2 linked regions of the Arabidopsis thaliana genome follow. The protein of the gene in region 2 interacts with the protein of the main gene of each other region in a pairwise test. Each region holds a gene or a part of one and is shown on either strand. Other genes may lie near its edges.

What was found.
Region 1: the proteins of AT1G66500 (region 2) and PCFS4 interact in a two-hybrid assay, tested with the Arabidopsis thaliana proteins (one study listed by BioGRID).

Annotation. Positions count from the first base shown.
Region 1 is NC_003075.7:2,469,846-2,476,530, reverse strand, and holds PCFS4 (PCF11P-similar protein 4), read right to left. Parts: upstream 4,666-6,685; 5' UTR 4,449-4,665; coding exon 4,116-4,448; intron 3,954-4,115; coding exon 3,852-3,953; intron 3,763-3,851; coding exon 3,523-3,762; intron 3,067-3,522; coding exon 1,876-3,066; intron 1,795-1,875; coding exon 1,279-1,794; intron 1,159-1,278; coding exon 1,114-1,158; 3' UTR 506-1,113; downstream 1-505.
Region 2 is NC_003070.9:24,810,551-24,814,219, forward strand, and holds AT1G66500 (Pre-mRNA cleavage complex II), read right to left. Parts: upstream 2,112-3,669; 5' UTR 1,963-2,111; coding exon 712-1,962; 3' UTR 530-711; downstream 1-529. Other genes in the region: AT1G66510 (AAR2 protein family), read left to right, coding at 2,331-2,426, 2,736-2,818, 2,933-2,990, 3,165-3,224, 3,422-3,551.

The sequences.
Region 1 (6,685 bases), on a different chromosome or scaffold from region 2:
GCTCTCTCTTATCCCATTCAACCAACGGTCCAATTTTCTAACAAAGGCAAAATAAAAGGGCAATGATGTGTGTTCTTAACCTGATCTTTTGTTCTAGCTTAGTTCATATTGCATATTGCAAGCTGTTTTCTTATATTCATACTATAATAGACTATTTTCACAATGTATATAACAAACATGAATTTTACTCCAGCCATTACATCTATTGATCATCACATACTCTTGTTTAGAGACTAACGGTTGAGACAAAGCCAGATTTGAACTGAGTTTGCTCTGCAGTCCTATAAGGTACTACCAGAACTAAATCATAACCTTTAAATCTTTATAATTCCATATTTCAAATGTAACAGTCATGAAAAAACTCTAGTTTGATCGAGCAAAAAGCCAAGTAAGTTCGAAAGCTTTAACTATCGTTCAATCTACTTCGACATAAATCCGGCTCTGTATCATGTAGGTATGAAGATACAAGTAGTGGAAATTTCAAAAGCAAAAGGTTCAGATAGAAGAAAAGTAAAACTTGTTTCATTATAGACAAAGTCAAGAGAACAAATACGCTTAAAGAGAGTTATGTTAACTAACATTTTTAGCTAACAGCCTAACATAGAAAGGTAAAACTCAGACAGGGAAAGCTCTAAAGAAGAAACCTGAAACTGGTTCTCTTAGCAACAGCATCTATGAGATCCATTCATCATAAGAAATCTGTTCACATTCGAATATCAGTCTTCTCGGGCTTTCCCTGCAATATCTAAAGATGAAAAAGAAAAAGACAATCCGAAACAGAGACATTGTATTCCATTTACATGGGGAAACTACTGTTGCGACATCTGATTTTACTACTACAAGCACCCCAGGTTAGGTGTAGCAGAGAATGCAGAACAGTTACACGATATCCATGTCCTAAGGCACAACAGGAATTTAGAGGCATAAAGAATGATAATATATGTGGGTGTAAACCTCTTTTTTTCAATGGTACAGTTTTAGGAGAAAGAAGACTCTCTCCATCATTTCTCTTCATTGGTGGTATTCTGTGACTAAGTGCATATAGATGATGAAGAAATAAGAATGTAACTTAAATGTAGTCAAGAAAAAGACCTAAAATTCGGTCTAAGGGATCTAACTCCGCATCTTTTTCCTCTGACTACCCTCTTCCATATCACCCTGAAAAAGCCATGATCGGGAAATCAAGAGGTCGTCACTGGATAAATGTCTAGCAGCGAAAATGAAAATGGATTCAACTAGACACAAATGAAGCTAATGAAAATGCATGGAATGGCTTACCCCATTGGACTCTGGCCTGCACTTTGCATGCACTATAGGACCTAACTGAGACTTGTCCATATCTGTTGTTGATTCTTCAGGAGCATTCATGTATACCGCACCTTTGTACATCCATTCCTCGGTTTCATCACTATAAAAGTCTTCAAATGGCTCACCACATAATGCACATGAAGTTTGGTCTTCATCTGCAGGAACTGCCATATCTTCGTCATCCTTCTTTTCTGTTGTTGGCTCCGTGGGCAAGAACCCTGGTACTGCTTCAGCTCCAAGTGCTTCTGCACCACTGAGCCACATGCTAGCACTTACAAACCATTTCCGAGAAGGGTTCTGCTTATGGTTCTTGGACATCCTGTTCTTGGTTACATGCCAATCCATGTGCTTACTGTGCTCTTCTTGGCACTTGAAGCGTAGACCACAGGTTGTGCATTGCCTCGGGAGATCCCCATATAAAGCACTGATTGCAGACTCATTACGTATCTTGAGCATGTCTGCATCAAACTCCAACCCCAATGGTCCCTGAATATATAAACCAACAATTCAAGATAAAGCAATAACTAAGAACAAACCGACTCTCAAGGACATGATTTGAATAATTACCTGACCAGCAGGCTGATTGTTCAATGAGATCAAACCTTGAGCCATGAGAGAGCCAATCAGACCAGAGAATGCGCCACCTGGTGGTTGATTAGAGGCTCCTATCTGAGATAAAACTCCTGAAGAAAGAGGATGCATGGCTTCCCCACCTTGGATTGATAAAGATGGTCTAATGGTTGACCCATGTGGAGGGTACCCATGACTTACGTGGGTTAACAACGATTGCATTGGCCTTGGAGCCATAGCAGATGAGGATGGCAAATAATTAACTAGCATCTGATTCTGTTGAGTCATATCATTAAGATGACTCTGAGAGACCTGGTTTTCGGGCCTATATAAAGGCTTACCTTGCAAGCGATTTGACATCGCATTACCGGGATTTGCCAAATGATGCAAATGAGCAGAAGGTACAGGGAGAGAGTTGGGTCCTCTAGCACTCAAATGGGGCCATGTCCCATCAGGAAGAGCCCGGCCAAAACGTGAGTTAACATCTTGAATGCTATCAAATGGAGGAGCCCCGAATTCACTGTTTGATGAAACTAACCCTACAGATGAAGCCAATACTTTCAAGTCTTTTCCTGCTCTTGTATCAACACGGTTGGATGTATGTGGATAATTTTGTGACAAACTCCAATTTTCTCGTAGCTGATGACTTACACCATTCTTAATGTCAGAATCTAAATGAAAATCACTTGTGTTTCCTACTCTGGGTCTTGCCCTTACACTTCCTAATGCTGGTACAGATGATCGCAAAAATTCACCAGCTCTGCTACGATCTAGGGTAGGGCTCATATCTTCCCAATCAAACTCTTCTTCCTCAGTGTTCTGCCATGGTGTAACCATCTTACTGTGCATGCCATTCATATCGCGAATTGGTTTATTGATCGTTACGTGTTTGCTGGTGTCAACTCCATATGCATCTATCAACGCTCTAGGTCTTTCGTGATCATTTCCTTGGCCTAAGTTTTCCTTTCTTCGCCATTCCATATGTTCATCATCTCTGCTAGTAGCTCGACCCATTCCATAGTTAAAAGCTTGATTAGAAGGATTAGCTCCATCATTAGACCTCCTGGTAAAACCATCTGGTGTACTAGACAGTGAAGATGGGCTCTCTAACTGATCTTCGAAATCATTATACCCACCGAGTGAATTTTGGCCATAAACTCTTGCACTGGAATTAATTCCTCTCAAATTCTGCATGTCAAGCAAGAGCAATTAAGGAAATATGCATCTCAGGTATAGTCACTCTTTGAAAAAAAACATATAAAAACAGTTCCAAACGACACATGATGCATAAACAGTGATCTACTGTACTATAACCAAAAAAAAACCCTCTACATGTGCTAACAAGATCATTTCTAATGTACCAGAGTCCCAGTGACCTACTCATCATGTATAACTGAGAGAGGCCATAACAACAACTCCCTTCCAGTCAAGATTGATTACTTGAAGAATGTAAACATCTATCTCGTCTAACTAACAAAACTTTAAAGAAATACAATGGATAAGACCACTATGAGGCCAAACTAATCTAATACCCGTTTTACTTAGTACACTTATATAAAATTAACACACCATAGCTTCAAGGTTGCAGATGCACCTAAAAAAAGAATGTCATCTCTGTTCATAATGACAAAGAGAAAGGCTTACATTTTCGGCGGCTGAGGGCTCCAGCCTGCGAAGATATTTTGGATTAACATGTATACCTCTCGTTGGTTGACTAGGCTCAGAAGCCCCTACGGAAGATTGGTTTGCTGCAGATGAAAGTTGCAATTGCATATCAATCTTGCGTAGTACAGGTGGTGGAAAAACACTCGACCAAGTCCCAAACAGGTGACGCATTGACGGATGTAAACTCGGATGTGCTTGCCTATATGCAAGGCAGAAGACCTAAAGCAGAATAGGATCAAAACAGCTCATGGGTATGCTTCAGCCCTATTCAAATCATTTAAGTAAACATCTTCTTGTAGACTGCTCACCTCGGGTAGACGGGATGAGAAATAGCGACCATAATCCCGCCCAATGTTCTTAACAATGCTGTCTAAAAGATACAGAGATGGCAACTTTTGCTCAACAGGAGCCTGCATATATACACCCACAGGTAACTCAGAAGCAGCCATTTCACTAAACCACAAACCAAACACTAATCTCTGACAATCAAAAACCTAATTTTTTTCCCACTTCTACACTTACATACTATACAATAAGGCTAGAAAGTGGAAACAAATAAGAAGAAAGCAAACCTCAAGGATTCGAGTGCAAATAGCATTAGCGATTCCTTCACCATGTTCCCGTTGTTCACCAGCGATAATAGTGAGATCAGTGATAATAGGCTTAGAATTGAAAGTAAGCTCACCCAAAACAACCTCATAAAGCTGAACAATCTCATCCATACTCGGAGGCAAAACCTCTTCACCACCACCGAACTCATCTTCACGCTGATTAAGCAAAGCTTTAAACCGGTCTAACAACGACGGCGGTGGCGGCGGTTTCTGCGGCAACTCAACGGACATACCTTTGCGGCTGGTGCTATTAATCGAAACAAGTCTTGGATTGAGGATTTTCTCTGAGTCCATCCCCAATTCAATAGTGAAGAGTGATAATTAGTGGCAGCATAAAGGCTCTAGGGTTTCTGTTCCACCATGGAAACTCCTCGAATCGCCACCCTTGTGGGGGAAGAGAGAGATAGAGATCGATAACGGAAGTTTTTTTTTTTTTAGTGAAGAGGATTTTTTTTTCTTCTCAATTTTGTATCTCTACTTTATGCAAATCTCATTTTTGTCCCTTTTTTTTTAGAGTTATCAACTACATCCCAATTATTGTTTTTACCCGTTTTGAGTCACACAGATTTTTGACTTTTACTATGACCTCATCAATTAATCACGTTGCAATTCTCTTCTTTCCCTTATTTGAAAAGTTTGATCTTGCCTCTTGGTGACACTAAATTTAGTTTTGAGGAACTATTTCATTTCTTAGCTTATTTATCTATCTTGATAAAGTTTGAATCTATCTTGTTTTGATTCTACTCATGGACTATGAATGATTTTTTTTTTGGTAGACAATTAGATTTTATATTATTTTTGATTTTTGACAGAAATACAGAGATTAGCAAGAAGCGGATTAAAACAATCTACAAAAATAAATACAACATTACAACTCTAATTCATTCAGTTCGCTTTTATGCGTTCAAGGCTAAGTTACGAGTTGAAACACCGATTTTGAACTCGTGAAACTCGGAAATTTGTGTGGTTGTCACATGACCGAAAAAGTGGAATTCTCATGGTAGTTGCCACGAGCATATCTTCGAGAACTTGATTCAAATTGATACAGTTAAAAACACCACCATCAAACCACGTCCTTGTTACGTTTCTTTAAGTTATATTAAAAAAATGTTGGATTAGTTGTATAAAATCCTATAAGGGTTTGAGTTTATTATTACATAATTATAATTATATAGCTTCCTATTTTATAAGTTTAAATTTAATATTTGTTAGTTCCTTTGTTTTTACATTTTAAAATATAAAGTAATTGCTATTTTCAAAAATGTTAATTAATTAGATGCTAAATATGTTAATTATTGATGTGGCAGCTCCCGATTGGTTGTTTTCAAAAATGTTAATTAATTAGATACTAAATATGTTAATTATTTATGTGGCAACTCCCGATTAGTCGTTCTAAATCCTAGGTTATGAATCCACGCTACGCATGGGTCTATTTGTAAAACTTTTTAATATTTTTTTGTGTGAATAAAATTATTATAGAAATTTTTTAAAAGATATGTTTTTATATGTCTACTTGTTGTTAATATTATAAACTCTTTGAATTTTAAAATTACCATGACAATAGTTACAATTTAAATACAAAACTAAAAATAACTTTAATACAACTTTTAGGTTTACAACATTTATCAAAAGAACATTTTTTTGGCTCATGACTCTCTCTTTAGCTTTAGATATTTAGGATCACGACGTCTTTTTATGTATGAAATAAATTGTTTTATGGAAAATAACTTCGACGACTTTCTCATTTTGAAATCCGTAAATTTACTATTCTTTTTTGTTTATCTTCGCTGCATTAGTTAGTATAGCTCGTCTAAAAATAAGATATTATATAGAAGTATATTCATAAGCTTATCTATACTTTACTTTAACAACTCATATTTTCTCACATTCTTTTCAATATGTATATGAATTTCTGTCTTCACAATTTTTTTACAAAGAGCTATCACTCTCCCTATCTTTTTGCAAGCACTCGTTTTATTTGTTTCATTTTTTCTTACAGTGTCTCTTTCCATCCTCTTATGATTTTGTTTAAGCAATATGTGTCATACCTTCTAAACTTTTCACATGTTCCATATTTTTTCTTCGAAAATCTCTTTCTTCTCTAGTTAGTACTAGGGCGAAACCCGAACCAAATCGCGGGCTTTTTTTATTAAAAAATGTAATTTTGTTAAGTTGTATGTAGGTATTGAATGTTATTTGTCATGATTCATGATATATGTAGAACAAAAGAATTCATTAGAAAGTGATTAAGAGCTCAATGCATTTGTTAATTTTTTAAAGTAAGATCTATATAGCTTTTATAAGTTTTGGAAGCTAATTTTTTTGTATTACGAACATCTTTTTAGAAGAGTCATTAAAAAACAAAAGTGAAAAGAGTTAAAAATCACCAGGTGCTGATTCTGGTGAGGTTAAAGTCATTGAAGATTCTTAAGAATATGTTATATGGAGTTATCATATTTGATTTTGATGTTCCATATGCATATTTGATTCATACGTTGAAGAAGTATAAAAAAACTAAAAGCTATGTTTGT
Region 2 (3,669 bases):
TTTATAGATTGTGAATGTGTTATCTCATTAGAATGATAATGTCCATACATATATATAGATACACAAAGGAATTAGGGAAAAAGCTAATTGCACATTCATGGGACGATTAGGTTTCAAGGTTTCCTTATTTCGGTTTAGTGGTATAGAGAGTCTGGTTTATGTAAACAGGTAATCAAGTGTGATTTCCCTGGTTAAACCGAAACACTCTACTTTAAATAGAGTGTTTCATTGTATTTGTCATTTGAGACTTTATGTGAAATAACAGAATTATCATTGTTCTTCGTTTGTTTTTCGATTTCTCATCAACTATTAGGGTTGAAAAAGGATTTTGAAAAGCTTTATAACGTTTATTAGCAAAACAAGTTTGTGAGAATTACTCTGTCTTCTTCTCGAAGTAAGAAACCCTAAGGAGAATCAAAAGAAGACGAGCTTCACGTTTGTCTCTGTTATTAAGTGTAAACTAAAGCATTTCGTTAATCTTTTCTGATTAATATAGTTACAACTTTTTTGATGATTTTTCAACACTAAACGACGATTAAAACAGAGATATAGAAGCATGAATATTCATTAAATGACACATAAGAGTAAAGAGGCGATAAGAGTAAAATAGGAGATTCAATTGATAGAACTGTATTTGTGTTACAACTTGTTCAAGTAAAGTACATTACTTAAAAAAACGAATGACTAAAACAGAGATCTTAAAAATCTCAATCAGCAGGCTATAGCTTTCGCAACCGATGGAACTGTAACAGACATTACCCTCGAAGGCTCTCTCAAATCCTTAGCAGGTCGGGGTTCAGGCATACACTTAACATGAACTATACGACCATTCTTGGTTAAGTAGACTGCATCTTTATACATCCAATCATCATCTTCATGGCTAAAGAACTCTTCAAACGGCTCTACGCATAATGCGCAATTCTTCTGATCTTCATCCGCAGGCACCATGAGTTGTTTTGGTTCTTCGTCCTTTCCTTTCTTCTTCTGCATTTCTCCTCCAAAAGATGCTACTTCTACCGTCTCTCCTCCCGTCGCTGCACAAAGCCATAAAGATGCACTTGCTAACCATCCCCTCGATTTCTTCGGTTGCTGACCCAGTCTTGTAGTGGTTTTCACCGACCTGTTCTTCCTTACATGCCAATCCATGTGTTTACTATGCTCTTCTTGACACTTGAATCTCAACCCACACGATGAACATTGTCTCGGCATATCAGAATACAGAGACTTAATCACAGATTCATGTCGAACATTAAGTGACGATGGATTATCAAAGCTTAATCCAACAGGCAAAGAATCACTATTACTTGCTTCTAAAGTTTTCTTCTCTTTCTCATTGTTAAGAAGACTAAGCAAATCAGTCAATTCTTTGCTCAAAACAATTGGTTGATGCATAGATTGAGACACAACTGAAACCATGTTCGAATGATTCATCGGATTTTGAACATTCGTAAAAACAGGAGTGTTTGGTACAAAATTCGATGACCTAACAGGATAATTCGGAGTTAGGGTTCTTGAATTCGGAACCCAATCAGGTAACGAATCTAAAGAGAGATTGTCATCAAGCTTACGATAAGGTAATGGAAGAGGAACAATTTGGGGATTAGGGTTTCCATAACCAGCAACAAAGGGTTTCTGATAATTGTTGGTGTTAGAATCATTGTTACGTAATGCAAAACTTGAATTAGAAGCAATCACATCAACACCGCAATTGTTATATGATTGAGAAGAAACCCTAGACACGTTATTATTATTACTACCATGATGATGATACAGAGGATTATGACCAGATCGGAATTGCTGTTGCGCTTGTGATCTGAAACGTTTTTGCGGCGGCGCGTAACGGTTCGTCTCCTCTTGATAACCTCCGATTCCGCCACCGTAACCGCGATTGTCGCTTCTTCTCTTCATCGTTGTTCTAGCGTTTGCGTTTCTCTGAGCAGAGAAAGATCCGTTTGATGCCATCTTCACGATTAAACAACAGTTATGAGTTTTCAGAGATCGATCGCAGAAAGAGAAAAGAAACCCTAAATTTGGATTTGGTGATTGCGTTGAGAGAGGAGAATTTTAGAAATTGAAACGATTGAAAAATAAAACGAATCTGAAGAGACGCGAAGATAGGTTTCTCTATAAATAAACGTTTATGTCGGTTGATAAAGTAAACCGCGTGAATCGCGCGTTGTCACGTGTTTTGGGCCACGGTTTATAGGCCCAGTTTGTTAATGGGCCTGTTAAATTGGGCCTTCTGGAATCTACTCGTTGTTCCGCTCTGTATTTTGCTGTTCTTTATTGAATTCGACGCTAAATTAGTGAAGACGAAGAAGAAGGAAGCTATGGATTCTGAGAAGGCACTAGAGCTTGTGAAGCATGGAGCTACACTTCTATTTCTCGATGTTCCTCAATATACACTGGTCGGAATCGATACTCAGGTTTGTCTACTTCTAAGTTTAAAGCTTTTATCGAATTTCAACTTTTCTCAGTTTCAAAGTTTGTTACTTTATTCCAAGTTTAAAGCTTTTTAATGTGGAACTGATTCTCCTTGTATAGTTTCTTTTTGGTTTAGTAAATATCTCGAGAAGAAAGTGTATTTTGAGTTTGAATATGATTAAAATTTGAGGTTTTTGAGCTTTTGAAGATTCTTTATTGGCTATGGATTTTGATTTCTGTATGATTGTGAAACATATTTCTTGAGCATATTCATTGGCCTATAACGACAATGTTTTGTATTGTGGTTACAGATATTCGCAGTTGGACCAGCTTTCAAAGGGATTAAGATGATACCTCCTGGAATTCACTTTGTATTCTATAGTTCATCGACAAGGTTTAAGTCTTTAAATGGTTTTTTAAATTTGTGATGTCGTACTCATTAAAAACCGTACCATGGTTATCGATATGCTTTGGCTGATAATGCAGACTTTCATTTTCTTATCTTCAGGGATGGTAGAGAGTTTTCACCCACCATTGGCTTCTTTGTTGATGTTGCCCCTTCTCAGGTTTGGAATCACAACTTTGAATAGTTTGTGTTTGTAGTTATCTATATAGATCGCTATTACAGAGAAAACATTTAGTAATGTTCTTGTCTCTCTGTGATATCCTGTTAGTAGCACCATGAAACTGTATATATTGTAAGTAGATATATATTTACTATCTTTTGTTGAATATACAAGGTTATTGTACGCAAATGGAATCAGCAAGACGAGTGGTTAACCAAAGTGTCTGAAGAAGAGGTATGTCCTTTTAATAACCTAGTGCAGTAATTTTCTCAATGTTGCGTATATGTTGGTCAGCGATTTGCCTCTTTGTGATATTTGTTCAATGCCTGCTAGATAGGAATATAATCAAATCATGTTGCATGAGCCATTAGTTAGTAGGCTTGAGAATTAGTGCTGGCTTATTTATATTTATTCTGCTCTTTTGTTGCTAGGAAGAGAGATATTCTCAAGCAGTCAGGTCTTTAGAGTTTGACAAAAATCTTGGCCCATACAATTTAAAGCAATATGGGGAGTGGAGGCACTTATCTAACTACATTACAAAGGATGTTGTTGAAAAGTTTGGTATGTGAACCTTATAATTTGGAGGATTCTTTAACCACATTGTTAATGTTTTCCCTCACTCGAGTAGTGAACACTGTAAAGTTTGGCTTGTTCAAAAATTTTATGTTCAATTTTGCAG